Rattus norvegicus: one gene and its partners. The main gene of each other region encodes a partner of the protein of the gene in region 7 in a complex. Links are inferred from orthologs where the notes say so. Each region holds a gene or a part of one and is shown on either strand. Other genes may lie near its edges. The genes, in order: Taf5, Tbp, Taf9, Taf13, Taf7, Taf11l1 and Taf3.

Region 1 (3,500 bases), on a different chromosome or scaffold from region 7:
TTTTCTTAAAAGTTGTCATTCATTTTTTAAACAGTTGCAAGTGTAGCTGTGGAAGACCAGCCAGATGTCAGTGCTGTCTTGTCGGCCTACAACCAACAAGGAGACCCTACAATGTATGAAGAATACTACAGTGGACTGAAACACTTCATTGAATGTTCTCTGGACTGCCATCGAGCAGAATTATCCCAACTCTTTTATCCTCTGTTTGTACATATGTACTTGGAGCTAGTTTATAATCAACATGAAAGTGAAGCAAAATCATTCTTTGAGAAGTATGTGAATCTTAACATATTTATCTATATATGTCTGTAAACACACATCTGTAACCACACGAATGTAAACCAGAAGGCGTTTTGTGAAGGACAGGTGCCTGGGCAGTATGAACCCAGCACAGGGGCAGCAGGAGGATTGATCCTCCAGAGGAAACAGACTTGTAGGGCGATCTGAGGAAGGGCGAGGAGTTAGCCAGTTAAAGCGGGAGCATACCTGGAGTGGTCTGTGGGGGAAGGGATCTTGGTAGTTACAGAGGCTAAAGAAGCTCATAGTGGCTGAGGCAGGGAATGGTGCAGGGCTGTGGTATAGCATTCAGTTGGCAGCAACAGGCAGGTTCTTGGACTGTGCTGAGGGTCTCTGTCATAGGAATAGTAGGGATTTGTATTGGATGAGATTAGGTTTGGTTGAGAGTCACTGAAAACTCAATGATTATGAATAAAAACTTTATTCTAAGAACAGTAGGAGGCTGTGTTAGGATTAGAAGATGACTAACCACCCAAACAATAGGCTTGAATAAAATGTTAAGTTGGATTTTCTCATAAAGGTAGAAGGTTTGGGGCTGATAGGTAAATCCTCGATCATCAGGAATTATTGTCCTTGTCATGAAGCTTCCACTCTGTGGTACAAGCTGGGCCTCTGTCAGAAAGTAGTCCCAGCACTGTTATAGTCAGCAAGAAAGGCACACATTCCTGGAAGGTGCTGACACTTTCTTTTTCTAACTTTTTATCAGTGGCTGTCCCTAGCTATAGATGTAGAAAATGTGATCTTCCCTGAGGTGCCTGTCCTCAGCTAACAGCCAGGGGTTTAGTTATGGAGGAAAGAAGTTAAAATGAGCATTTGGGGACGGTAAGGCATCTCTGCTACAGATGTCACTAGAGGGTCATTTCATTAATTGCAGTTTTTGTCATTTTTCCTAAGACAGGATCTTATAGTGTGTAGTCCTGCCTAGCCTGGAACTCACTGTGTAGACCAGGCTGGCCTCAAACCTGCAGAGCTCTGTTGGCTTCTCCCTTCTGAGTGCTAGGATTATACATGGTCTCCCACCAGGACCCAAGTGAGCATTTTAAAAGACAAACAGATGGTGAGGGACAGAAGGACTATTGGATGCCTAGGGTTATTAACTGCTTCTTAATGGTGGTGATAGTCCTCTTTCCCATGACACTTAGAAATATGTTGAGGCATATTTGTTTGTTGGGGAGGAGGGAATGATAGTAACTATTATGGAATGTATAGATAGTTCTACTTAGCAGAGAATTGTCCTGCCTAATATATCAGTAGCATCGCTATTGAGAAACAAGAATCTGCTGATGAAGTGAAAAGTAGACTGACCCACGCATGTTGGGTTGGATATGGAGGTGAGACACCATTGATAACCCAGATTTCTGGTGTGTCCACTGGAGAAGGATGGCTTTCCTGTAGGAATCCCTAGAGGAGGACATTAGTAGGGTTACTAATCTTTAGTTCTAGTTCAAATGTGCTTTTGACTAATTTAAGAACCATTAAGAAGCAATAACCATGTGCAGCATGGTGGTGCATGACTCTAATCCTGGCACTTGGGAGACCGAGGCAGGTGGGTCTCTGAGTTTAAGGTCAGCCTGGTCTACAGCATGAGTTCCACACAGAGAAACCATGTCTTCAAAACCAAACCAAACAAAAAAACCCCAGTACCTCCAAGACTGGTCTGCCAATAGTCCCTCTGTCCTCCTGTACTGTAATCCTGTTCCCTATGTACTAGCTGAGAGGGGAGGAGCTTCTGGAGCCAACATTGGCTTGAGGAGCTCCAACATTTAACAGGTACAGGATACAGAGAAGGGAAAGGTGGAGACATAGGGAAAATTCCAGAAGGCATCCTTACAGATGCCAGGAGGCAGGGCTGACTGCCTGATGAGAGCACTTCAGTGCAAGCCACAGAGCTTGAAGTCAGGACTTGTCGCAGAACGATGATGGTGGTAGGGGAAGAACAGAACTCCTAAAAGCTATTACCCACTCATCATGCTTGGATTCCTAATTGAAGGTACAGAAAGCAAACTGGGGCTCAGCCCTCTCCCTTCTCTTGGGCTGATGATAATATTTTACATTAGAAACCTTTTTTTCTTCTTCTTCTTTTTTTTTTTTTTTTTTTTTTTTTTTTTTTGAGACAGGGTTTCTCTGTGTAATGGTCCTGGCTGTCCTAGAACTCACTCTGTAGACCAGGCCGGTCTTGAACTTGCTCTGCCTCCTGAGTGCTGGGACTAAAGGCATGTGCCACCACTACCCAGCTTAGAAGCTAATTTTCTTTTGTAGTACTGCATCAGTCTTGCTCTTTCAGTCTCCTGGGATAGCCACTTTTCCATGGAGAAAGATGGGCTGTAATAAAAGGCTCTCTGTTCCCATTACAGACAGTCTGCTAGGACCCCATGCCCAAATGAAGGCAAAATAAGCCAAGACTTGTAAAAACAAGAGTATATTTAAACTATAAGGTATAACCAAGACTGAAGGCTTTACTTAATTGCCTTGATAATAGTGAAAATATGGAAGTGCTTATTGTTTAGTACCAATATTTGTTCTTTACTTTATCCTTATTAAAGTATTGATTTTAATGTCCTAAGTAATTAAAATGTATAGGCTTATAAGAATCATGTCCTGTGATAAGTACATTGAAGGCATACTATTTTCTACTCCTGTGTTTGAAATGTTTTTAATAAAAAGTTTTAAAGAGGTTTTGAGAAAGCGCAAAATTCAGTAAAGCAAGGATTCTGACGTTTTTATGTATTCCCAAAGATTTTTTTTTAATTTTTTTTCCAAGACAAGAGTTTCTCTGTGTAGCCCTGGCTGTCCTGGAACTCACTTTGTAGTCCCGCTGGCCTCAAACTCAGAGATCCAGGCTCAGGCTCTGCCTCCTGAGTGTTGTGATTAAAGGCGTATGTCGCCATGGGTCAAAGATACTTTTCAAAAGAAATACATACCGTTAGTGAGTCCGCTCAGATGTCTCATTCACTGCTTCATTAAAGAACTTTCTCCTGAAATGTTTATGACACATTTCATTAGAGAAATTGGTCATTTTAAGGGTGATTTTAGAAACTGAATTATAATCATTTTGAATTACTATTGATCCTACAGCCTAGTCAGGGTTATTTATGTAGTTACATTATATACTTTATAGTATAAATATATAATTATAAACTACATATGATTCTGGGATGGTTTATCAGTGTATGAGGGAGAAGCAGGGGAGAAGCAGATTACCT
Region 2 (3,926 bases), on a different chromosome or scaffold from region 7:
GTCTATGCATATGGCAACCTATTCAACAGCTATACACAACACACAGATTCTCTTCTCTCTCTCTCTCTCTCTCTCTCTCTCTCTCTCTCTCTCTCTCTTTCTCTTTCTCTCTATCACACACACACACACACACACACACACACACACACACCGGGGGGGGGGGGAGTAAGCACAACAACACATGTATATGCCTAGGTGAACCATGGAAGGAAAAAATTAAGGTATGTTGGAATCAAATCAAGCATTAAGAACCAGTCTAAGAAACAGCTGACGTTTTCTTGTGACAGCAAGGACGAGAGCTGGTAGTAGCAGAGTTAAAATAGAAATGAGTCTGTGACTACAAAGCCGCTTGTTTTGCTGTTCCTCTTTGGACGCAAGTTGACATTTACTGAGAACATAATAAGAAGCGTCTGCTTGCCATTCACGTTATCCATCTCACAAATCTCTAAGAGGCAACTACTACTATCATTCAACTCTACAGAGCAAAGTGGAGGACCCAGTGAGCTTGCCAAGCGATCTCTTGAGTTCAAGACCAGCCTGTTCTACAAGAGTGAGTCCCAAGACAGCCAGAGCGACAAGGAGAAACTCTCAAAAAAACAAAAACAACACGTGGAAGATCGAGGATGTATACAGTTCAGTGGTAGAACGCTTGCTTGAGCCTGATCCCCATAGCCACATCCCCAATACTGTTCCCGCTACACACTCTACATCTCTCTTTGACAGCTAGAAAGGGCGGTCAGAGGCCTGGTCCCGAAAATGCTGGGACACCAACCCAACCCCTTTCTTTCACGAGTGTCTCACAGTTTAAGCACAACAAGCCGGGCTCCAGTCGAGAGCGCAACTGGCGGAAGTGACGGCATCAGATGTGCGTCAGGCGTTCGGTGGGGTCGAGTCCGGTAGCGGTGGCGGGTATCTGCTGGCGGTTTGGCTAGGTTTCTGCGGTCGCGTCATTTTCTCCGCAGTGCCCAGGTAACGGTTCTTTCATCCTTTTCTCTGCTTGGAGGCCTTAACAAAAGCGACTTCTGCAGCGGGTCCCTGGAGTTTGCCGGAGGAGACGCGGAATGGGCGCGCGGCCGGGCGGGGAACGGTCCTCCGCGCGGGCTGCGGCGGCTCCGGGAGTACCAGTCTCTGGACCACCGCCTCGGCGGGGTCATGAAATCCAGTGCCAAGTGTGAGCCTCTCCAAGGGGCTGGCACCGGACAGCTCGGCGCACCGTACATCTCAGCTGCTTCCCCCGGTGGAAGACAGTTTTACCCAGGCCTGCGGCTGCTCGTTTTGTCCCCAGTAAGAATAATTCTATTAGGAAGCGGTTCTTGAGACGGAGCATCTCGTCAGAAGCTCGAGATTCAAGCTCAGTCGAGCTTAACATAAAAACGCACGCTTCTTTATTTACACGCTGTCAGTCTTTAGGTTCGAGTTAACGTGGTTTTCCAAAACTCCGGGTAGGCTTTTCTGGGAAAAGATGCCGGACTGGGTGAAGCAGACGCTTGAAGACTGCAGAATTGGTTTCCCAAATATTCAGTTTGATGGCTCAGTTTCCAAAAGTTGAAAACAACCTAAAAATAAGTTTGTGCAGCGATTATTGCGGTTTTAAGATGCAGATGAGAAAAGGTAGTTTAATATCGTCTGCAGGTGTGAGATGACCTCAGCGAAGGATACTACACATTCCCCAGTCTTATATAAGCGAGCGTTCAGTAAACTTTGTTTGCAGAAAGTGATCTGGATAAATCTCTGGTTATACTTTGGACATTAAATCCAGCCTTTTTTTTTTTCCCCAACCAAAACAGTGATCTCTGAAATTGAATTTTCAGTCTTCAGTTTTCTCAGATTTATCCGCTCTTGGACCAAGAAGATATTCAAACTGCACCTTAACATCCTTTAACTGTTCCCATTGTCTGTGTAGTGACATCTTATACCCTGAATTATGCAACCCTATCTACAGCTAGCTGCTTTGTCATCTTTTGTAGTGACTTTACATTCTAAGCCTGTCACATACTACATGCAAGGCTTTGTCCCCCTTTCATGTCTGTGACTTGTACTGCGATAGTGCTGATTTGTGTGGTTTTGTTCCTCTTGCTAGACCTGTGTTAGATTGTCCCTGCTTTGTGAGAGCTCAGACCTCTGGAAAGGGTACTTCAATTCCGTCTTAACTTTTAAAAGATTTACATATATGACTGTTTTGCTTATATGTCTTTATGTGTATCACGTGCATGCCCGGGCCCATAGAAGACAAAAGAGAGCTTTGGATTCCCTGGGACTGGATTTATAGCTAGTTGTAAGTAGCTATGTGGGTACTAGGAATCAAAACTAGTCCTTCTGAAGAGCAGCAGTGCTCTTGACTGCAGAACATTCTGCCACCTCTTGACTCTAATCTGTACTCTTCCATAACATTCATTCACGGTCACAAATGCCGAGACCAGTCATAGGTAGGTGCAGGTGTCTTGAAGACACTAATGTTGGTTTCAGCTTTCCAATAGCTTGCCTTACTTCGTAAACGCCTGCAGTTTTAGTGTTTGCTAAGTATTTATAGTTGTCTCCGTATTGTTTTATACCGAACTGTTTGATAAGGACCGTATCCTCTTTATCTTTGTATCTGGAATGTTGATTCGTTCACTTCTTATGGCATCTCTGAGCAAGCCATTGGTCTATATGAACTGAGCTGATTTTTAAAAATAAAGTATCTTTAAGGAATTGAGGATGGGCGTTTGCCTGCCATTTAGGAGGCTCTGGATTCTATCACTACTGCCTTTACAAAGGAAAAGAGAGCACATTTCATAGTCTCCTAATCCATATTCATATTTCACATCCATGACCACTAAAGAGCTGATGATTTAAGAAACTCAGTTCCAGGCGTGGTTTGAATTAATGTGATCTAATGAGCTAATGTTTCATCTGTTGTTTAGTCTGCCTTTAATTAAAATTAGAACACACAAAAAATGATTACCTAAAGCATATTGTGTCCAGTTCAATATGATACTTTAAGCTTGAGGTATTGGGAATGGTATAAAACCAGAATTGACTTAATAGAGCTGTACAAACAGTGCCTAGTAAGTGTTCTTTTCTTACAGTACAGTTTGCTTACGAATTAGTTTTCCCTCGGCCTTTAGTTTGCCGAGGCCTTTGCTGGGGGTGGGGCATGAGGGTGAAGGTGGTACAAAGGGCTGGTCCCTGATGCTGGTTCTTAAAAGAGATGGCTCAGAGGTTACAAGCACTGCCTACTCCTCCAGAGAACCAGGTTGGAGCCATCTCTCACACCCTACAATTTGATCTTAATCTAAACATTTATTGTCTAAGTTCACAAAGAACACACAGGTTTCAAAGTTACAAATTGTATATCCAAAGACCCATGTTTATTTTAATATGATGCCATGGTGGCTCAGTTCCAGGGCATCTGACTCTCTCTTCTGGCCTCTGCAGACACCAAGGCATGAAAGTGATATACAGGCATACACGTAGGCAAAATACCCACACATATAAAATCAATTACCTTTATGTGAGGAATCAGCTTGTGAGAGCCTGTTCTCTCCTTTCACCATTTGGTTAAACTCAGATTATTAGGATCTGAGGATCTAGGCAGCACATGCCTTTACCTACTGAACCACTTCTTACCAACCCGTTCTCCAATAATTTTTACTATTGATCTCGATACCTTAATTTTCAGTACTATTAGAATATTTAGAATATTTAAGCACACAGCCACATAAGTTTTTGGTTTTGTTGGTGGTTTTACATGAGTCACAGGAAACATAGACTAGGCTTTGGGAGTAAAGGATACATATATTCGTGTGTGTGTGTGTGTGTGTGTGTGTGTGTGTGTGTATTTACACATTTACACACACACTCCAAAACAGTTCTATGTGTTTATTTTGTGTGAGCATGAAACCTGTGTCCATTAAACTTAAAACATATTTTTCCAAGCAGCATCA
Region 3 (4,259 bases), on a different chromosome or scaffold from region 7:
AAATTCCTTCTCTGAAATGTGGATATAAAAAGGATGACACAAATAAGTTAAATAATAAAAGATTAGGGGAAAAAAGGGGTAAATAAGTAAAAAATAACACTTTAGACTACATGCAGTGAGTCTGGGCATGCAACTGTCCAAGTGACTTTTAAAAAGTAATATGATAGTCATATCCTATTTGAGTTCACGGTAGTCTATCCTGGAGAGATCAATATAATGTCTCATACATTTAAAATCACCCAAACCTTTGTGTCTGCTGAGCCCACAGCATTTTCCCTCTTCCTCATATTCAGAGCTTATCTATCCAGTCTCCCAACAAAACCGTCACAATTTTTACTATTCTCAATAATGCTAGTTATTTTGGGGTAGGGAAGGGAAAATGTCCAAAATAACTATGTCATACTACTATCTATTATACATGTGATTTTCTTTCTCAGGCCCCTAGCAGAACATAATCACTCATTGCCAGGACCCTCTAGCAACACTTCACAGTCCTAACACTCTACTATACCTGACTTAAAAACAGAAATACAACATCAAAGAGACGCTTACCTTCCCGAGCTAGATCTCCCACATTAACGTACTTCAGGCCTGATCTTGATGCAAGTTCTTTGCCTAGTGTGGTTTTTCCAACCCCTGGTGTACCTGTAAGAGAAGCCACAGAAAAATGCTGTTCAAATCCTACTTACTACATGTCAGCCGTCTTCTGCCCTTACAGTTCTTGGTTCTTTTTTTTTTTTTTTTTTTTTTCCGGAGCTGGGGACCGAACCCAGGGCCTTGCGCTTCCTAGGTAAGCGCTCTACCACTGAGCTAAATCCCCAACCCCTGCCCTTACAGTTCTTAGACGGTATAAAATTTTTCTTAATTAGCAATCATATATGAATATACACCATGAACTAATAAAAATTCCCCAGAAAGCCTGGTATGGTGGTGCACGCCTTTAATCCCAGCACTAAGGGTGGAGGCAGGTGGGTCAATCTCTGTGACTTCAAGACCAGACTAGGCTGGTTTCAGGACAGCCAGGGGCACATAGCAGGACCCTGTCTCAAAACCAAACCAACCAAAAAATTCTCCAGAAATTACTGGGTATTAGTGTCAGGACCCTAATCTCCAGGGATAGGACTCCAAAAATTTTGATGCCAATCCTGCCTGCCAACATATAAAATTCCCAGCATAAAATCAGGCACTTCGGGGGTTGGGGATTTAGCTCAGTGGTAGAGCGCAAGGCCCTGGGTTCCGTCCCCAGCTCCAGAAAAAAAAAAAAGAAAAAAAAATCAGGCACTTGGGATACATTATCATTTGCTGCATTAACAAAAGCTTAAAAACATTCAATGGAAAAAATATAAGAGGTATGAGAAATATCATTACTACTATTTACACTAGTAACTTCCCCAGAGGGAACTACTGTAAACCAGTTTCTTACTCAACTTTCTATGAGTTTGTGTATGTCTACAGGATACTTGGGATGCATTTAAATATGTGTGCACATACACATTGTATATATCCACAGCATAGGTACCCTGTTGTATAAATGGCACTATACATTGTTCTTTGCTTTTCTGCCTTTATAGCTAATACCCTTTTAAGATAATCAAATGCATAATGTTCAAGCTTAAAATTACTTAAGTCAATTTGAACATTATAAGTAAAAATCACGACTCTACATTCTCATCCTATTCAATCTTATGATATGGCTCTCTCTCTTTTTTTTTCCCCATACATAGGGCTGGCCTTTGACATATGCCACCCCAGCTAGTCTATGTAAGTTCTGGGGATCCAACCCAGGGTTTCCTGCCTACTAGTTATAAGTTCTCTATCAACTGATTTCCATCACCAGGGTCCCTCTGTAGCCTTCTGGTTTCAGAATCTTAACCCCCCCAAGACACTGTCTGACCATGCAAATCAGGTATTGTAAAACGTTCCTCCTAAGAAACCTTAAAAGCTAGTGCGTAGAGCTGAGGCAGACAACAACCTTACGATTCATTACCTGACATCTACATCCATCCCATTTTTGTACGACTGGCCTTTGATGCTACTAGATGCTACAACTTAATATTTCTAATTAAAGCTCCGAAACCTTCCCCCGGCCCCCACGATCAGCTCCAGATCACCACAAACGTCCACAAACGCTCAGAAACCCCAACACTAAAACAACAACAAAGCCTGTGGCGCGAACGGAACTAAGAAACAGTTAACTAGTCACTTCTCTCCACAAGCATCCCAAAATCATCTACCGAAACCTCTTGGGAAGCAAACGGGGCATTAAAAAAGAAAAGAAAATGGGTGGCGATCAGGAAGGCCCAAGGGCTGGGGCACCCACCATTACCACATCACCTAACGGCTAAAAACTGCCTCACAGCACCCCGATTTAAAAAAACCCCTAGCCCGACCGCGACAAAGAATCAGCAGCCGGTCCTCCAGGCAAAGATACCAGATTGACAAAGGCTAAGTGTCTCCCGGGGCGGCGGGGCAACGGAGCAGGAGCCGGCAGCCGCTCTCCTTCTCGTCGCCGCGGCGCGTCTGGCTAACCGAACCTCCGCCTCCCCCGCTCCCCCTACCCCCTCCCCCAACGGTCGCGAGCGCCGGGTCCTGACGCGACCACGACACCGCACGCCGCGCGGCCTGAGGAGCCCCGAGGCCGAACACCCAGCGCCCCCCGGGACCTCACAGCACTCGACAAACCCCGGCCCGGCCTGGCCCAGTCCCGCCGCGCGCCCTAACCGGTGAGCAGGATGTTCGGAAGCTTCATAGTACTCCTTCACACGCAGCCAGCGCTTCGGCTCACGCGCTCTCCAGGGAGGAGCCGGAAAGGGCGGGCGGGCGCGTGCGCCCGCGGCTAGGTTCCCTCGAGGCCCTTCGCGGTGCTCACACTCACTTAGGACCCCCTTGGCTCGCACCAATGACTCCCCGGCCTCGGGAGGTACACTTCCACCGAATGGGGGGAAAGCACGGCGCCAAGCCTGGCCTGCGTTTCGGGTCAGGCAGTACGCTGGACGCCTACGTCACTCGCTCGCCTGCCGGCCCCTCCCCTCTGGTGCGTCGCGTAAGCGCCCGCAGTAAGGAAGGTCCCCAGGAGGCGGGCCGCCCTAGAAGCCTGCGGCTGAGCTGGGAGGGCTGGGCGGTTACCCTTCCACACTACAGCCTGGCCTCCTTCACATCTTTCCGCCCGCGAGGGGACGCAGCTCCCAGAAAGTAAGGACGACGACGCTTCCGCTTTTCTTATTAATGTCCTAGAGGCGTGAGACCCGCTTCGTCTTTACGCCTACCTGGGCTGTCCTCCGGACCCGCCCTCCAATATGGACTAGTGTAGGATGTAGGTGAGGAGCCCTGGCCTGAAGCCATGGTGCGATGTGTCAGCTCCGTTCTCTGTTGATTGCACAAACACCTAGGACTGATGTGTCCCTGTCCCCTGCGCAGTGTATGAGGTGGAGGTGGATCGGCTAGGGGTAGTCTTGAAGTTCTCGTTTATCTCCAGCGTAATTCACGAGCCTGGTATTTATCATCAGAGACAGTTGGTTTTTTATCCAAGGTGATGATTGTCAGTCTTGTTTTCAAAGAGCCCCGACCGTTGAGTATCTTTTATTTCGACAAGTATAATTTCTTAAGCAGACGTTTTTGTATCCTTTTAAAACGTCAGGCCCTAATCCTAAATTATAAGGGGAAGAGCATTTGTTATATTAGGTGGGAAAGATTTTAGCGGGTGGGCTTGTGTGTACCTACAACTCTAAAATAGACCAGTGCACTTCCGGTTTATCCGAAGTGACTGATGAGTCTTACTTCATTGTGTTTTTTCCTTTCTCTTAAGTTGTAAATACACTGTACTTTGCAGCGTGATATGAAATAAGAATTTAGGCATAAAAATGCTTATATGGGATTAGTTTTTCTTTATAACAGAAGGTAAGTGCACAAATATGTGGCTTTTCTGTTTCATTCTTTGGAGTTTATATGAAAACCTTTTTACTTATACCATCCCACCACAAATAGACTATCTGATACAATTGTAATCATTTAAAATTTACTTAAAGGTTTTAACATCTTTTTTGAGTCCACATTACATGGTTGATTTTGTATTTTGATATTGATCAGTATTAATCCTGTATTTATTGTTTTTCCTAATTTGTGATGTTTTTCTTTTTTCCACCAAGGTGAATTATACTTCAATATACTCTAAATTGTATGCTACTGATGGGAACTGTTAAAGTTTATAATGTCAGAAACTTTCCTTAGACCAAAGGTGTCTTCTACAAAGGTATGACATA
Region 4 (4,133 bases), on a different chromosome or scaffold from region 7:
CCTTGCCCTCTGAGCCCTGTCCACCCTCAGGAATGGCTGGCTATGAGATACTTTTCTGTCATTTGATATCTTTCCTCCAACCCTAAACTGGACTCTGGAGTCCACTCTGAAATTGTAGAAGAACCCCAGGCTGTTCCCTCTGCTCTGTGTCTGATCTACTCATTACATTGCTTTGTTATTCCCGGTTTCTGTTTTGGAGTTTGAGTTAAGAGGGTTGAATTTATCCACACTTCATAGTTTATAGCCCTGCTAGCATTGTCCATAGTCCTTTGCTTTTTATTTTTTCCTTTATGCCCTATTTCTACCTTTTCTGTGCTGCCAGCTTTCTAATGCATTTAATGTCTCTGCTGTTTTGTTTGTTGCTGACCTTGAACTCAGAGATTTTCCAGCCTCTGCCTCCCCAGGCAGGGATTAAAGACGTGTGCCATCACACTTAGCTCTTTGATAATTTTAAAATGTTTTACTTATTACTGTGTATGGAAGCCAGAGGACAGCCTTGTGGAATCTGTCTTCTTACCTTTCACTTTTTATATAGGCCCAGGGATTAAACCTGAATATTAGTCTTATTCCGTGAGAGCTTTCACTGACTGTACCATCTCTCCCGCACATCTTTTGTAATTAAAAAACCAAACCCAAACCCACCCCCCTCATAAAACCCAATGTACACACACACACACACACACACACACACACACACACACACACACACACACAAAATTACGGAGGCAGGAAAGATTGCTCTGCAGCTAAGAGCATTGGCTGCTTTTCCAAAGACTTGAGTTTGATTCCCAGCCCCTACATAGCGGTTCACAATCATCTAACTCTAGTTTCAGGGAATTAGTTGCTCTCTTCTGGCCTCTTTGGCGCTGCGAACACATGGTACACATGCGTGTCTGCAAAACACTCATATACATAAAGATTATATATATATTTTTAAAAAGTATATCTATGTGGGCTTGTGTACTTGAATGCATCAGCCCCAGAGGCAAAAATTCATCATATTCCCCTGGAGCTGGAATTACAGGCATTTGGGAGTCTCCATTAGTATGCACAAATTTATCATTTATGATTTCTGAGATATGGGCTCATGAAGCTTGAGTGGTCTCGAACTCTAAGCTCTCTTGCCTCGGCCAAGTGCACGGAATTTTTTCGGTATAGTACACCACGCCTGGCATCTTTGTAATTTTTAATCCCTTCTTCAGGATTCCACGCCTAAGTACGCGTCACTGATTTTCAGCCAATCTCAAGGCCGGGGTTAGGAGAATGAGAGTGCACACCCATCTGCGCAACTCCGGCCAGGCCGGAAGTGACGCACATATCTTATAAATCTTGCGAGCCGCCCTTGGGCGGGCTCAGAAGGCTGGCGGGCTGCTAGCATGGCAGATGAGGAGGAAGATCCCACCGTGAGTGAGCGCCCGTCACAGCCTGTTTCCTCACTCCCTCTGGCTCACTAGCGGAGGCAGAGTCTGACCCTCCTGAGCCTTAGGGAATCCCGCCGAGAGTTCGGGGTCTCCGCGGTGTTTTCCTCTTCCTTCGGTTTACCTTAGTCAGTGCGTGGGGCAGGAAGGGAAGGAAAAGTAGACAGGATCTCCTTTTGATCTGGATCTTCCTGACACTGAGAGTCTAGAGAGTCATAGGAGATCAAAGCAAATACTGCGGAACCAGCAGCCCATCTGCTAACAAAACTAGTGAAAATAGTGGAGAAAAGATGAACTAAAGTCAGGAAGTTTGAGATCCAGATTCTCCTTTGGAGTTATTTAACTTAAGGCATCGGTTTTCTTGTCGTGAGATAGGGTCAAGCCCAGTTAAGGAAAGTTTTTAGCCCTGTATTGACAGGTGCTTAGTAAATGTTGCTTCTGATGGCAGCAGAGAGTAGATTTTAAACTATCAGGTCTTTTACAGTAGTAGCATTGCTTAGCAGTATGACAACTAAATGGGCTAAAACCAAACCCAGAACCTGACGTCCATTTGAACTTCACACACACACACACCCCGGGTAGGGTTGTTAGTTAGGAGCCGTAATAAAAGACTTCTTGCACGACTTGAGAAGTGGAATAGGACATAAGAGCCCTCTGATGCTAAGTTTCTATGACTTTGTGCTGTTTGCCTTAGCTTACCACTTTTGAAAATGCAAAAGGGTCACTGGGCATGGTGGTGCACACTTTGAATCCCAGCACTCAGAAAAGGATCTCTGAGTTCCAGGCAGACGGGCACATACCTTGTCTCAAAAAAAAAAAAAAAAAAAAAGTCTAGAGATTTTGCTTTAGTGCATCTGGCTACCTACAGCAGTTAGACCCCTTTTTTGGCCTCTACGGGCATTTGCAGGCATAGTCAATGTAGGCACACACAATACATATAAATAATAAATGTCTTTCAAAAAAAGATGAAAAGGGCACTGGAGTGTAGCTCAGTGGTCAATTAACTGTTTAGAATCGTGAGCTCCTAGGTTCAATTCATAGCACTCAAAAGAGAGAGCAGGAGGAGACTCTGGAGAATATCACGTGCACTGCCATCATTTGACATTTCTGTATTTTTAAATTTCTAGTTTGAGGAGGAAAATGAAGAAATTGGAGGAGGAGCAGAAGGTGGCCAGGGGAAGAGAAAGAGACTTTTCTCTAAAGAACGTAAGTTGTACTTTCCAATGCTTTTATTACAGGTGGTGAGAGCTTTTAAACATGTCCTTGGAGAGTAGGTACATTGCTCTGCATATGTTTGCTTAGAGGGACAGTGTTCTCAGACTTGCCTGTAAGGTTGTTTTTATTCCTGTTTGTTTTTGCTTTTTTTTTAAAAAAAAATTATTTTATGTATATGAGTACCAGAAGAGGGCATCAATTCCATTACAGATGGCTGTGAGCCACCATGTGGTTGCTGGGAATTGAACTCAGGACCTCTGGAAGAGCAGTTAGTGCTCTTAACTGCTGAGCCATCTTTCTAGCTCCCCTTGTTTTTGCTTTCTTTTTTTTTAAAGATAGGCTCTGCATAGGCTTGGCTATATTGGTGCTCACTGTTTAGCCCAAGCTAGCTTTGGGTGGCGGTAGTCCTCCTGCCTTAGCCTCTCAAGTATTGGGATTGCCGGTGTGCCTCCTGTGGTTGGTATAAGTCTCTTTATCATGTATACTAATTCTCTCTTTGTGACGTAAAATAATGAATGTGATTCCCCCCCACCCACACATACACTTTGAGGTGGGTTTTTTTTATTTTATTTCTTTTAGTTTTTTTTTTTTCCTTTTCTTTTTTTTTTTTTCGGAGCTGGGGACCGAACCCAGGGCCTTGCGCTTGGTAGGCAAGCGCTCTACCACTGAGCTAAATCCCCAACCCCTCTTTTAGTTTTTTTTTAAGATTGATTGATTGATTATAATTACACTGTAACTGTCTTCAGACACACCAGAAGAGGGCACCAGATCTCATTACAGATGGTTGTGAGCTGCCATGTGGTTGCTGGAAATTGAACTCAGGATTCCTGGAAGAGCAGTCAGTGCTCTTAACCACTCAGCCATCTCTCCAGCCCTCTTTGAGGTTTTTGAGACAGGGTTTTTCTGTGTAGCTCTGGCTGTCTTAGAGCTCATTCTGCAGATCAGGCTAGTTTTGAACTCACAGAGAGATACATATGCCTCCACCTCTGCCTCTGCCTCCTAAGTGCTGGGATTGACACTGTGAACCACAGCCACCCAGCTGAGGCAGGGTTTTTATATCCCAGTATGGTTTCAACCTTGGTATGTAGATGAGTATGACCTTGAACTTCTCCTGTCTGTATCCCTCGTGCTACACATAGGCCCATATGTCATGATTCCCAGTTTGTTTAGCTAAGGATTGACCCTAGTTGTGTGTGTTAGGCTAGCACTCAGCTACTAACTGAGCTACATTCATTGCACCGCTGCCCCTCCCCCTTTCTGTTTTTTTGTTTGCTTTGTTTTTGTTGTTGTTTTTCCCTTTCTGTGTTTAGCAGGGTCTCATGTACCCTAGATTGGTCTTGTATTTATTACGTAGCTGGGGATGACTATGATGTTATATTCCTCTTGTGTCCACCTTTCAAACGATGTAAGTTGAGGCTTTGGACTAAGGCACTGATCAGGGCAAGAAAGTGAAGTCTGGGGTACTAACAGTGTCGTTAACCTTCCATCATACTCCTTAGG
Region 5 (3,943 bases), on a different chromosome or scaffold from region 7:
GGTGCTGCACACCTTTAATTTGCGCTATACTTTCTGCAGGAGGCCTATATAAGGACATTGGAAGAAGGAAGACTCACACTTCTTCAATTGCTTGCACTTACTTCTTACTTGCCAGCACATCTGTTGGTACCCACTTCTTCAAGATTCCAGTTTATACAGAAGACTGGGTGAAAGAACTAACCTCGTGGGACTGAGAAACTAGATTCTTGAACTTTCCATTCACAGCTGCCCATTGTTGGGTTAGTTGGGCTACAGACTGTAAATCATTACATTAAAATCCCTTAATGTATACAGACATTCCAGAATTTCTGTGACTCTAGAGAACCCTAACAGTACAGACAGTACCAATGGGCAAAACAAAAACAGACCTAATTATCAAATTTCATAGTTTTGAGAAAGTCTCTAATGTACTAACCTTGTTTTTTGGCTTCTGTAGTTCTGTCTCTGGAAAGTGGTTTTTGTAACAGAAACATGCCAATGTAGAACATTTGTTTGTGCTTAAAAGCTCACCCTGAGAAAGCCTTAGGGCCACACTGGGATCCAGAACACCCAATGTAGTCGCTGGCTAGCTAATACTTTATATTGGCTTAAAACTATGTCCAAGCAGCCTTCTTTGGTGGATACCCAACAACAAAATCAGAACGTTTGTGTTTCAGGCAAGGCAATTCTGTTCTTAATGAACCTGTGTCATCATAAAAACATTTGTATACAGTTATATCTATCAAACATATTACCAAAATAGCGTATCATACATATCACACCTCGTCCTCTGGAGCCAAAAATACTAACGAAGCTAAAGGCTTAGTTCCTCTCAAAGCTAATTAACATGATTATACACAGCGTTATGTGGTAGACAGCAAAACTGTATCATTCCACTGTTTTGGCCACTTTACTTTCACTTTGTGATGCTTCCAAAGCTTTTGGCGGAGGGACCGGGTATGCCCTGGGAAGAAAAGATGCTTTCTGCAGGGACGCCCTTTATCTCTGGCAATCACTCTAGAAACTGTCTTAACCCACGACTTCATAAAAGTGCTGTCTTAGGGGGTGTGCTTATGTTTTACTTTTTGGAATCTTCATCTTTGAATTCCAAGCCAAGGTTTTTCCGGAAACACTAGTTTTAATCCTATACAAGGTAAGTTCTCACGAGAAGTAGTCACGAGACGACGTAATTACGAGAATGCGCCTGCGCGCGCCGCGACGTTACTACTTCCGGAAGAGCGGCAGCCAGCCCCTCCGCGTCTACTTCCGGTCTTTGACGTAGCGCCGCGTCTGCTTCCGCTCACTGCCGTAGCACTTTCTTTCCTTCTTTTCTGCGTGGGAGGAGGCTTGGCAAGGTCCTCTCCGGAGTTCGGATGTTTGAGCGGCAGTGTGGCGAGGTTTCGCGCTGCGGGTCCTGAGCCGTTTCGTTGTTAGCGCTCAGGTCGCCTTGCCGGGCGGCTGAAAGCGCGGACAAACTGGAAGGTAGACGCACCGCTCATCGCTGCTTTACTCAGGCCGAGAAAAGCTGAGTTCATAGTTGCTGGTGAACTGTAAGTACCCGAGCCGAAGAGCTCACGACTTTTATTTAAATCTCTTACTGGAGAGAATCCGTGGATTGGGATTGCCTGCCAGACGGACGGACTGTGCCTAAAATCCCCTCAGGCGCTGCTGTTTTCTTTGGCTGTTCACGTGATGCTGCAGCGGCGTCTAGAGGCCCTAATTTGGTATTGCATCTAGTAGAGGTGTGAGTTTAACAGGGACAATGCCAAAGTGGGATGCATGTTTAGAGATTAGTATTGGGACTTAATTATAAATTAAGACAAAATAGGCAGTAGGTGATGATCCACTTAGTTGCTGTTTTCCTTAGAACTCAGTAACTAAGAGTTTAAGATTATTCTTAACCTTGTCCTTTTTTTAACTGTTGTAGGAGCTGGAACTTGTTAGTGCAGCAGGTGTTTATTGGAGAAGTAATTCACAAGGAAGTGAAGATGAGTAAGAGCAAAGATGATGCACCTCATGAGCTAGAGAGCCAGTTTATCTTACGGTTGCCCCCAGAATATGCCGCTACTGTGAGGAGGGCAGTGCAGTCTGGGCACGTCAACCTGAAAGATAGACTGAGCATTGAGTTACACCCTGATGGGCGTCATGGGATTGTCAGAGTGGATAGAGTGCCCCTGGCTGCAAAATTGGTAGATTTGCCGTGTGTTACGGAGAGCTTGAAAACCATTGATAAAAAAACCTTTTACAAGACAGCTGATATCTCTCAGATGCTTGTAGCCACAGTAGATGGTGATCTATACCCTCCTGTGGAGGAGCCAGCTGCTACTGCTGATCCCAAAGCAAACAAGAAAAAAGATAAGGACAAAGAGAAAAAATTTGTTTGGAACCATGGAATTACTCTACCTCTAAAAAATGTCAGAAAGAGAAGGTTCCGGAAGACAGCAAAGAAGAAGTACATTGAATCTCCAGATGTGGAAAAAGAAGTAAAGCGGCTGCTGAGTACAGATGCAGAAGCTGTCAGTACTCGTTGGGAGATAATTGCTGAAGATGAAACAAAGGAGGCAGAAAATCAAGGCCTTGATATCTCCTCTCCTGGAATGTCTGGCCACAGGCAGGGCCATGACTCACTAGAGCATGATGAGCTTCGAGAGATATTCAATGACCTCAGCAGCAGCAGCGAAGATGAAGAAGATGTAAACATCATTGACACTGAAGAGGATCTGGAGAGACAGCTACAGGACAAGCTAAATGAGTCAGATGAACAACACCAAGAAAATGAAGGAACCAATCAGTTGGTTATGGGGATTCAGAAGCAGATTGATAATATGAAAGGCAAGCTTCAAGAAACCCAAGACAGAGCAAAGCGCCAGGAGGATCTCATCATGAAGGTAGAAAACCTGGCTCTGAAGAACAGGTTTCAAGCTGTTCTGGATGAGCTCAAACAGAAGGAAGACCGGGAAAAGGAGCAGCTTAGCTCTTTGCAAGAAGAGCTGGAATCACTTCTGGAGAAGTGAAAAGGTTGACTTTAGTCCTTAGACTAGTCAGCTTAAGAAGAATTTATTTTCAGAGTGAGGTCTTGAAAAATTCTTCTTTTTTCTTTGAAATATTCTTATTTCCTGTAATGCTAGGAGTTATTGTGTTGATTGTTTTCACTCTTAAGAAAATAGGATTACATAGGCAGATTTGTTGTAGTGTAAGGTTAGTGAAGTGACAACACTGAGCTTTTAATCACTTCACCATAGGACTTTATTACAATTTGTTTCCTAAGTTTCTAGTCCTATTCTTCGGTGCTAAGATCAGTAAGAAGCTAGCTAGCCTACAGGCAATGGAGTGTTTTTTTTTTTTTTTTTTGTTTTTTTTTTAAGAAATATATTTTTTTACCTTCTCAGCAAGTTTCCATGTTACAGAAATGCAAGTTTTTTCATAAAAGTTGTTTTTTGCACAATAAAAGTTACTAATTTTCACTTTGCTTATCTTGTTCTTCAATGAATACTGAAAGTTGAGGTGAGCTCATGGAGTTTAATGGCTGAGTGGTATAGATCAAGATACATGCTGTTGTTTTGCCTTTTTAGAAAAGGAATACACCAGATAAGGAAATGGAGAAATTCATCTTTGCATTATAGATTATGGTTCAGGCCTACCTACACCATCTGGAGGTTTGTGAACACTCGGTCCAGAGCCTTCTTAAACTATCCTACTTTTCATTGAAGGATATCTGTCTATATCTTTTTATTAAACACTAAAGTTATCTATAAAATACTGGAAGCAGTTAAACAGTTATCAGATGAACTATTCCACTTGCTTAGATTAAGATTATATTCTTAACTGTTGCCATTTTAATTGCTATGCTTTTTTAATAGGCATGTTTGTTCATGTTATTTCATTAGTATTTGCCACTATGAAAGCCTGTTACCAGGTCTGGTATTTTAAAATTTCATACATAGAATTTTTCTCTGAGGCATTT
Region 6 (4,288 bases), on a different chromosome or scaffold from region 7:
AAATGCAGATTTTTGAAGGGCCGATCACCCTGTCTTGGCAGAGCTTATCAGTCAACTATTCTGCATAATTTGTCCTTTTCTGGACAATATTAGTCTGCAGATGAAACAGGCAGCTTTGTGTAGTGGCTGCCTAGCCACAAAGTATTGCCTTACCTGAACAAATTCTTCATTAAATCTGCCAAAGGGGAACTGTTAGGAGCAGCTACGTCTCAACAAAAGATAAATAACTTTAAGTCTCAAATTTTGTGGATTTCTGACGTTTTTGAAGACCATCCATCTATATAAGACAATCTGGACTGTTGTTTTCATATCTTAATATTTTTTTTTTGGTTCTTTTTTTTCGGAGCTGGGGACCGAACCCAGGGCCTTGCGCTTCCTAGGTAAGCGCTCTACCACTGAGCTAAATCCCCAGCCCCTTCATATCTTAATATTATCTTGAAAGTGCTCTCACAAAGTCAGAGCCATGAATGTGCTATTTGGCCCTTAACTCACATATGTAATCAACTCAGAAGTTTGTATTGACATAATTAGAAGGACTGGCTCTAAACCTTGTACTTTTAAACTTTTTTGACAAATAAATTCTATACCAAAACAAAGATATGATTTTAGCTTAGTTACCAAATGAGATAATGACTCTACAACTCAATCTAGCTAATTCCTCCCTGTTAAATTACAACCATTTCTAAGTTCCTCATAAAAACAACTTTAGAATAACTGCTTTCAGCCCCCCAAAAGTCCAGGGAATTGGGGCGACGACTCCTCCATAACTTCCTCAAGCTGTACATGGGCGTTGAGCTATCCTTGGGGGTAGGAGGCAGGAAGAATGAAGCAAATGCTGAGCAGATGTGTCCTGACTGGACCCAGCCGAAAGTCCTTGAGACCAGGAATCCAAGGAGGCACACAATACAACAATCAAGACAAAATATAACCATAATATATATAACCATAAAACTCAAGGTCACGGGCTGGAGAGATGGCTCAGTGGTTAAGAGCCCCGACTGCTCTTCCAGAGGTCCTGAGTTCAATTCCCAGCAACCAAATGTAGACACCCCATCTCTGACTTCCTCACCAGCGGTGCCTAGGTATCCAGAGAGGAAACTGGGAACCACACCATTCAACCCAGACCCCTCTGTTCCCATTCTAGTTCTGTGGGTAGCAGTGCCTGACATCATCCAGAAGGGAAACATTCACTGTGGACCCCCTGTTCTGGCTTTTGTTATGCCGCTCAGGGCTGGCATGATGGTGGCTGCTAGACACCTCCAGCAGAGGCAGAATGCAGTATGACATCAGAGCAATGTGAGTTCTTTATTTTTTATTTAAAAAGACAGCCAAGAGCTGGAGAGATGGCTCAGTGGTTAAGAGCACTGACTGTTCTTCCTAGCAACCACATGGTGGCTCACAGCCATCTGTAATAGGATTTGATGCCCTCTTCTGGTGTGTCTGAAGATAGCTACACTGTATTCATATACATAAAATAAACACATTAATTTTAAAAAAAGTCAGCCAAATCTTTATTGGGAAATGGGTCCCTAGGAAGTGAGCCTGGGGCCCTCGTTGCACATCTTGTTCCTTAGCACTGTTCCAAGAATTCCTTTTTTTTTTTCTTTCTTTCTTTTTTTCAGAGCTGGGGACCGAATCCAGGGCCTTGCGCTTGCTAGGCAAGCGCTCTACCACTGAGCTAAATCCCCAACCCCTGTTCCAAGAATTCTTTTTTTTTTTGGGGGGGGGGTTCTTTTTTTTTCGGAGCTGGGGACCGAACCCAGGGCCTTGCACTTCCTAGGCAAGCGCTCTACCACTGAGCTAAATCCCCAACCCCCCAAGAATTCTTCATCGCGTCTCGTGTTGTGGAGAACTAGAAAAGGTGTAAATATTGCAGGCCTTCAAAGGCATCGTCTGCTCTGAAAGCCAGGTCCACTGTGACTGAGGGCCTGTGGCTTTGCTACCTGTTTAGTGAACCATGTGCTCGACTCCTTGGCCTCAATGAAGTTGGTGGTCTTCTTGTGCCGGATCATGAGAAACACTTCCATCCCTGTGACTGACTGCTTCTGACTTGATGCACCAGACCTGAGCAGTGTCAACAACAGGCATTAAATATTTTAATTGTGTGCAGTGCAGACCTGGCGCAGACGCGGTCCACGCCCAGCGAAACCGCCCATTCGACAGCTGGGGAAGAACGAAGTGGGCACACTTGTAGGAGCTTCCCGAAGTGCTCGCCTTCCCAAAGATTTGGGAACCTCATGGGACTGGAAATGATCCTCATTGGTCCAGGCACTGTAGAAACAAAAGAAATGTGGGAACGGGATACTAGCTCTGTTCTGACGGGAGGCAGGTAGCCAATAGTTGAAGCATTGAATGAAATCGTTGGATATATTCTATTGGCACTAGAGATGCTTGCGGTACAGAAGAGAAGCCCAAGCAGTTCCCTGGTGGACCCAAGCCGCGGATCTCAGTTCTTTGGAAAATACGAGGTTGAGTCTCTGCCGGAAATTGCTCAGTCCAAGGCAGCAACAAGCAGCCGGACGGAGTTTTCGCCCCGTTCCGGACTTTGCGCTCAAGTTAACGGATTAATTGGCATTACATTTCCAGGAAGGAAGGAAAAAAAGAAGTCTCTCGGTAAACGAATTGTACGCCCTTTCGAACACGCTTCTACCCTAAAGCGGAGGATCTATACTTTTACATTTCTTTCTGGTTAAAACAAAGTCAGTATACAAGAAGACCCTGAGCGATCGAGACTCTGAAAATGACCCCTCCCAGGAGCCGTGGGCGTGACGTCATCGCGGCGCGACCACAAGCAATAAGGACCAGCTCCAAGCCATAAGCCTCAGCTATAATATAAGTCCCGCGGCAAAACTCGCTGACCCTCACTCCTTCGCCCGGCCGCGCTGCCTTCGCCTCTAACCCCCTCCTGTCGCGATGGAAAACCTTGGAGAGTCGCCCACGGACAAAGGCGGGGAGTCAGAGGAGTCGAGGGCTACTCCTGGGAACCCGTTAGCGGCAGACACTGAGGGAATCCCTGAGGAAACCGATAGGGATGGAGACGTGGACTTGAAAGAAGCCGCGGCAGAGGAAAGGGAGACCAAGAGTCAGGATGTCTCAGGTTTGACAGCAGTTGAGAGGGAAGACTCATTTCTTACTCCTGCAGCCAAAAAGCTGAAACTAGAAACCAAAGACAAGAAGGAGAAGAAGCAGAAGGTGGACGAAGATGAGATTCAGAAGATGCAAATCCTGGTCTCTTCTTTTTCTGAAGAGCAGCTGAACCGTTATGAAATGTATCGCCGGTCAGCTTTCCCGAAGGCAGCCATTAAAAGGCTGATCCAGTCCATCACTGGCACCTCTGTGTCTCAGAATGTTGTGATCGCCATGTCTGGCATTTCTAAAGTTTTTGTCGGGGAGGTGGTAGAAGAAGCCCTGGATGTGTGTGAGAAATGGGGAGAAATGCCACCCCTGCAGCCCAAGCACATGAGGGAGGCCGTGCGGAGGTTGAAGTCCAAGGGGCAAATCCCCAGCTCAAAGCACAAGAAAATCACCTTCTTCTAGATCTAACAGAGACTGTTCAAGACTTTCCGTATAGTTGGGCTTCTGTACTGAGGCTTTGTTGGTGGTGAGCCCAGGACACTTGATGCTGACTTTAATGTTTCTGTTACACCTACAAGGCACGTAGTGTGCCTCAGACTTGCCTTCACTCAGTCATAGACTGTCCTCAGGCATGTTGAAGAATTTCACAGACTCTTGGCTATTTTTAAGAAAAAATACACAGGGACTGTTAGTATCTCCTGGAGAGGGAGATGATTTCAGAGAAAAACAAGACAACTACAGTTTCACATTGAAGCCTAAAGTGGCTAAGATTCAGGTTGTTTCGAAACAAACTTTCTCAATAATCTGCTGTGAAGACAGTCACACCATAATTCGATTCTCACCGTTAACATTTCAGGTTGTCCTGTGTATTTTGTGAGGGATTATTAAACTTTTCCAACCTGTGTGGGAAACTTTGTTTTATTTTGTTGCAGACAAAACTTATTGTCCTTCCAATAAAACTTGGATTTTTTTTCCTTGTTTAAAAATACAAAACAAAACTTTTAATTGCCCTGGGGCTGAGTTTCTCTGACCCTGACCCAGAATGGTTGAATTCAATTTGACATGCCCTGTAGGAGGCCCCTTAGGGGGTTAATCTGAATTCATTAGCCTACTACTGGGCTTTGCCACACCTTATGCCTACTGCAGAAGGCTGAGCTTTCTTTTGGATTACTTCTAGAAAAACAACAACAACGAAAAACATTGTGCCTACGAA
Region 7 (3,392 bases):
ACCTGGGCTACCTGAGACTCTTTCCCACCCTCAGCCTCTCCCCCCAAGTGAAACATACAAGCAAAGCCATTGCATTATACTCTTCCTGATGGAAAGAACAAATAAACTAATTAGTCTCACTATACAGAAGGCGCTATATAATATAGCCCAAATACCCAGCGTAAGTGCTACAGTGTTTGGGCAGATTTCTGGTGTATACATCATTTTTGGCATTTATTTTCATTGCGGGATTGGAGCGTGCTGTATTGGTTTGCACACCATTTCGTTCCCTGTTTCTGAGCACAGCACGTGGCTCAGAGACCGCGTGCTGTTGGGCATCATGGCCAGTGTCTTCATCTGTTGAGCCACCATGCCTTAAAGATTCATTTTAAAGCACCAGAAGAGAAGGGATTGGTTTACCTCAGTTGGTAGAGTGCTTCCTTAGCATGCAGGAGGAGAAGCCTTAGGTTCCATCCCCATAGCTGCAAAAGCTGACTGTAGGGTGCACACATCCCAGCTTAGGTAGTAAAGGCAGGAAGATCAGGAGTTCAAGGTCATCCTGGGCTACGTAAGGAGTTCAGAGCTAGCCTTGACCGTACCAGGAAGAAGTGACCCCTTTGAAAACATGGCACAAGGGCTGAAGAGATGTCCCCATGGTAAGAGCACTGTCTGCTGCTGCTTCTGGGAGCTCGCAGTGGGCTGCAACTCCACTTACAGGATCAGACACACTCTTCTGTCCTCAGGCAGCACCAGGTACACAAAAAATACACAGCCAAAACACCCGTACATATGACACACAATAAAAACTTGGAAGTTTCTTTCTTAGGAAGCGTACAGCTTGCAGACCCTGCCTCAGGAAAAAGAAGTTACAAACAGTAAGAAACTTGGCTAACGTGAACTTGTTTTGGTGTCTAGGCCCTGTGTGGGAATCATGGCTGCTCCTCCGGAAGAAATGCAGTGGTTCTGCCCCAAGTGTGCCAACAAGATAAAGAAAGACAAGAAGCACAAGAGGAGGAAGCACCGGGCACACTGACGTCTGCGTGGGCGGGACTGCTGCCCCGCACCGGGCGCACTGACCGGGCGCACTGACGTCTGCGTGGGCGCACTGACCGGGCGCACTGACGTCTGCGTGGGCGGGACTGCTGCCCCGCAGCGGGCCGGGGCTGGCCCAGTTCTGCCATCCGTCTCCCCCAGGCCCTGTGGACAGCGCATCCCCAGGAGCAAGGACAAGAACATGCCATTGCTCTGGACGCTCCCTTCTGAAACACACGGGCCTGAGCTCCCACAGCATGTTGCTGAAGAGAAACTCCAGTAGAGGCCTGGCCTGAGGGCTGGCACCTCCATCTGCCTATTACCAGTGACAAGTATTAATAAAGACACCACACATCTTCCCTCTTGACTTCCTTCTTCTCTCAGAACCTTTATTCCGGTGTTAGGTAAGACGTCTGTACAAACGCCCAGACTGACTGGAGGATGCGTCAGTCGCTCTACAGTTTGCAAGCCGCTCCCTCCCTCCACAGCGAGGTGACCCGCAGGAGAGAGCGCTCCAGTCAGAGGACTGGTAAATATTTTTGTGATGAGAGTATATGAAGCCCCCCACCTCACCCAACTTTTATTACTAGCGTGTAAAATGTTCAGGCTTTTGTGAGATACCTTATATTTTTTAAGAAAAGGGTTTCTATCATGTCCTGTCCACCTCTGCAAATTCTTTTCATTTAGCGTATTTTATAACTTGGATTCTTATTCTACTGTGTGAGCTGCTGGAGTCCCTCTCGCTGCGTGTGCATCCCATCAACTTGTATAAAACTCTTGATACTGAGAAAAATCCCCCACTGTAAATAATAAATATTTATGAAGTAGTTATTTTTAAAATTTTTTTATCGTGTTTAATTCTGGCTTTCTCTGGAATCCACTGTGATTTCAGCCATGTCTGTAATTGCTGCTGTACATAGGCAAAGAGAGAGAAGGGCCCAGACCATGTCCCTCCCTAGACACCCTGCCCACATGGCGGGCAGAGGACCCTAGCAATTGGAAGGAAACAAGGCAATTGACACCTCGAGTCAATGGCTTGAAATCGTTTTGTTTGTTACATATTTCCTGTAAATTTCTCTCACTTTTACTAAAAGGACATGTAGTTTCCACAAAAGTAAAAAAAGAAAAAATACTGTAGCATTTTGTGTTTATATTGTTTTATTTCTACAGATTTGTTCATGGATATTGTGCTTTAAGGTTGAAATGAAGTATATTATGGATTTTTTTAAGAAAACTCATCAAATTTCAGGGTATCACAAAACTTTATTATATTGCTATACTGCCCACTATTTATTATATGTTATAGATATCTGAAACATAAACCAAATGTTTTATTTTTAATGTAAAAAAAAGCATCAAATTTAACTTTATTAGCATATTTTAGTGGCTTTGAAATAACTATGGACCTTTACTTGATTTTGAAATAATCCCAATCTGGGCATGTGTGAAGGCGATCTTGAATGTTAGAACTCGGAATTTGAACCTAATACAAATATATGAGTAGAAATGTGATTTTTTTTTTACTGCCAACTCAATTGACATTAGTATTATAGTCACTCCTATTTTAAAACATATAATGTGGTTTCAGAAATGTGGTTCTCTGCCTTGATGTTAAATTGCAGAACAGTGGTAACGGAGTCAACCTGCGAAGAGTGTGGAAGTCACTCCCCTCCTTGTTCTAGAAGCCAGAAGTTTTCGTCACCCCTGCCCCCCAAAAAGTATCTATGTCGAGATATGTGTCTCTTTTCTTTTTCATTCACTAGAGATCATTCTAAATACTTTATACAATATTTTCACATGCACAAAGAATACCCATTAGTGCTTTTTGGAGAAGACGAAGGATGGGGGAAGTACAAAATAAAGATTATTGGCTGTTTCGTAGCTTGCTTTTCCGTCTTCTTTATTTAGGAATCGGTTCCCTGAGGCATGGTCAGTGGATTTGAAGTCGCCACGTCTAAGTGAGCAGGTCGCACCCCTGAAGTAAGAAAGGAGATAGAACTTTTTCCCGTTCCTCCAGTCTGAGAGTCTCCAGCTCACATAACATTTAAGAAATTTCAATCAATTTGTTGTCCCTTGCTATTTCATGGTTGCTTTCCTAAATCCAGTCCATGATTTTATAAATGGTCTTTGCAGTAATAAAAACCAAAGAATCATTTTCAGGGGGCTGGATGGCTCAAGGGATTAGTAATGAAATACAGAGCCTTTCACCTCTAGGTCAGTGAGTCGAATCCAGTCCAGGTCACTAAAGACCCAAAGTTGTCACCATCTTATGACTCTTCAGTGGCCCGTGCAAAGCATACTGGTGGCTGCAGTCTCCACTAGACGGGCTGTCTGACAGCAACCTAAGGAAGTTTAAGAAACTTAAAAAGTGTGGATTAGAA

Evidence for each region.
Region 1: Taf3 (region 7) and Taf5 share a complex: the UniProt entries of both Homo sapiens proteins name them as parts of the TFIID basal transcription factor complex. The link is inferred for Rattus norvegicus from reciprocal best matches to the Homo sapiens genes TAF3 and TAF5.
Region 2: Taf3 (region 7) and Tbp share a complex: the UniProt entries of both Homo sapiens proteins name them as parts of the TFIID basal transcription factor complex. The link is inferred for Rattus norvegicus from reciprocal best matches to the Homo sapiens genes TAF3 and TBP.
Region 3: Taf3 (region 7) and Taf9 share a complex: the UniProt entries of both Homo sapiens proteins name them as parts of the TFIID basal transcription factor complex. The link is inferred for Rattus norvegicus from reciprocal best matches to the Homo sapiens genes TAF3 and TAF9.
Region 4: Taf3 (region 7) and Taf13 share a complex: the UniProt entries of both Homo sapiens proteins name them as parts of the TFIID basal transcription factor complex. The link is inferred for Rattus norvegicus from reciprocal best matches to the Homo sapiens genes TAF3 and TAF13.
Region 5: Taf3 (region 7) and Taf7 share a complex: the UniProt entries of both Homo sapiens proteins name them as parts of the TFIID basal transcription factor complex. The link is inferred for Rattus norvegicus from reciprocal best matches to the Homo sapiens genes TAF3 and TAF7.
Region 6: Taf3 (region 7) and Taf11l1 share a complex: the UniProt entries of both Homo sapiens proteins name them as parts of the TFIID basal transcription factor complex. The link is inferred for Rattus norvegicus from reciprocal best matches to the Homo sapiens genes TAF3 and TAF11.

What each region holds. Positions count from the first base shown.
Region 1 is NC_086019.1:255,902,774-255,906,273, forward strand, and holds part of Taf5 (transcription initiation factor TFIID subunit 5), read left to right. Parts: intron 1-34; coding exon 35-272; intron 273-3,500. UniProt on the Homo sapiens protein: The TFIID basal transcription factor complex plays a major role in the initiation of RNA polymerase II (Pol II)-dependent transcription.
Region 2 is NC_086019.1:65,135,582-65,139,507, forward strand, and holds the start of Tbp (TATA-box-binding protein), read left to right. Parts: upstream 1-1,126; 5' UTR 1,127-1,284; intron 1,285-3,921; 5' UTR 3,922-3,926. UniProt on the Homo sapiens protein: The TFIID basal transcription factor complex plays a major role in the initiation of RNA polymerase II (Pol II)-dependent transcription.
Region 3 is NC_086020.1:33,526,929-33,531,187, reverse strand, and holds the start of Taf9 (transcription initiation factor TFIID subunit 9), read right to left. Parts: upstream 2,801-4,259; 5' UTR 2,750-2,800; coding exon of another isoform or gene 2,722-2,749; exon of another isoform or gene 2,574-2,721; intron 2,546-2,573; exon of another isoform or gene 1,988-2,545; intron 646-1,987; coding exon of another isoform or gene 553-645; intron 1-552. Other genes in the region: Ak6 (adenylate kinase isoenzyme 6), read right to left, coding at 553-645, 2,722-2,749; cell cycle checkpoint protein RAD17, read left to right, coding at 4,208-4,249. UniProt on the Homo sapiens protein: The TFIID basal transcription factor complex plays a major role in the initiation of RNA polymerase II (Pol II)-dependent transcription.
Region 4 is NC_086020.1:198,891,999-198,896,131, forward strand, and holds the start of Taf13 (transcription initiation factor TFIID subunit 13), read left to right. Parts: upstream 1-1,333; 5' UTR 1,334-1,376; coding exon 1,377-1,403; intron 1,404-2,545; coding exon 2,546-2,624; intron 2,625-4,133. UniProt on the Homo sapiens protein: The TFIID basal transcription factor complex plays a major role in the initiation of RNA polymerase II (Pol II)-dependent transcription.
Region 5 is NC_086036.1:29,710,676-29,714,618, reverse strand, and holds Taf7 (transcription initiation factor TFIID subunit 7), read left to right. Parts: upstream 1-1,294; 5' UTR 1,295-1,529; intron 1,530-1,906; 5' UTR 1,907-1,967; coding exon 1,968-2,993; 3' UTR 2,994-3,443; downstream 3,444-3,943. UniProt on the Homo sapiens protein: The TFIID basal transcription factor complex plays a major role in the initiation of RNA polymerase II (Pol II)-dependent transcription.
Region 6 is NC_086028.1:74,278,259-74,282,546, reverse strand, and holds Taf11l1 (transcription initiation factor TFIID subunit 11-like), read left to right. Parts: upstream 1-1,488; 5' UTR 1,489-2,913; coding exon 2,914-3,537; 3' UTR 3,538-3,986; downstream 3,987-4,288. UniProt on the Homo sapiens protein: The TFIID basal transcription factor complex plays a major role in the initiation of RNA polymerase II (Pol II)-dependent transcription.
Region 7 is NC_086035.1:73,515,162-73,518,553, forward strand, and holds the end of Taf3 (transcription initiation factor TFIID subunit 3), read left to right. Parts: intron 1-894; coding exon 895-1,012; 3' UTR 1,013-1,048; exon of another isoform or gene 1,049-1,132; 3' UTR 1,133-2,892; downstream 2,893-3,392. UniProt on the Homo sapiens protein: The TFIID basal transcription factor complex plays a major role in the initiation of RNA polymerase II (Pol II)-dependent transcription.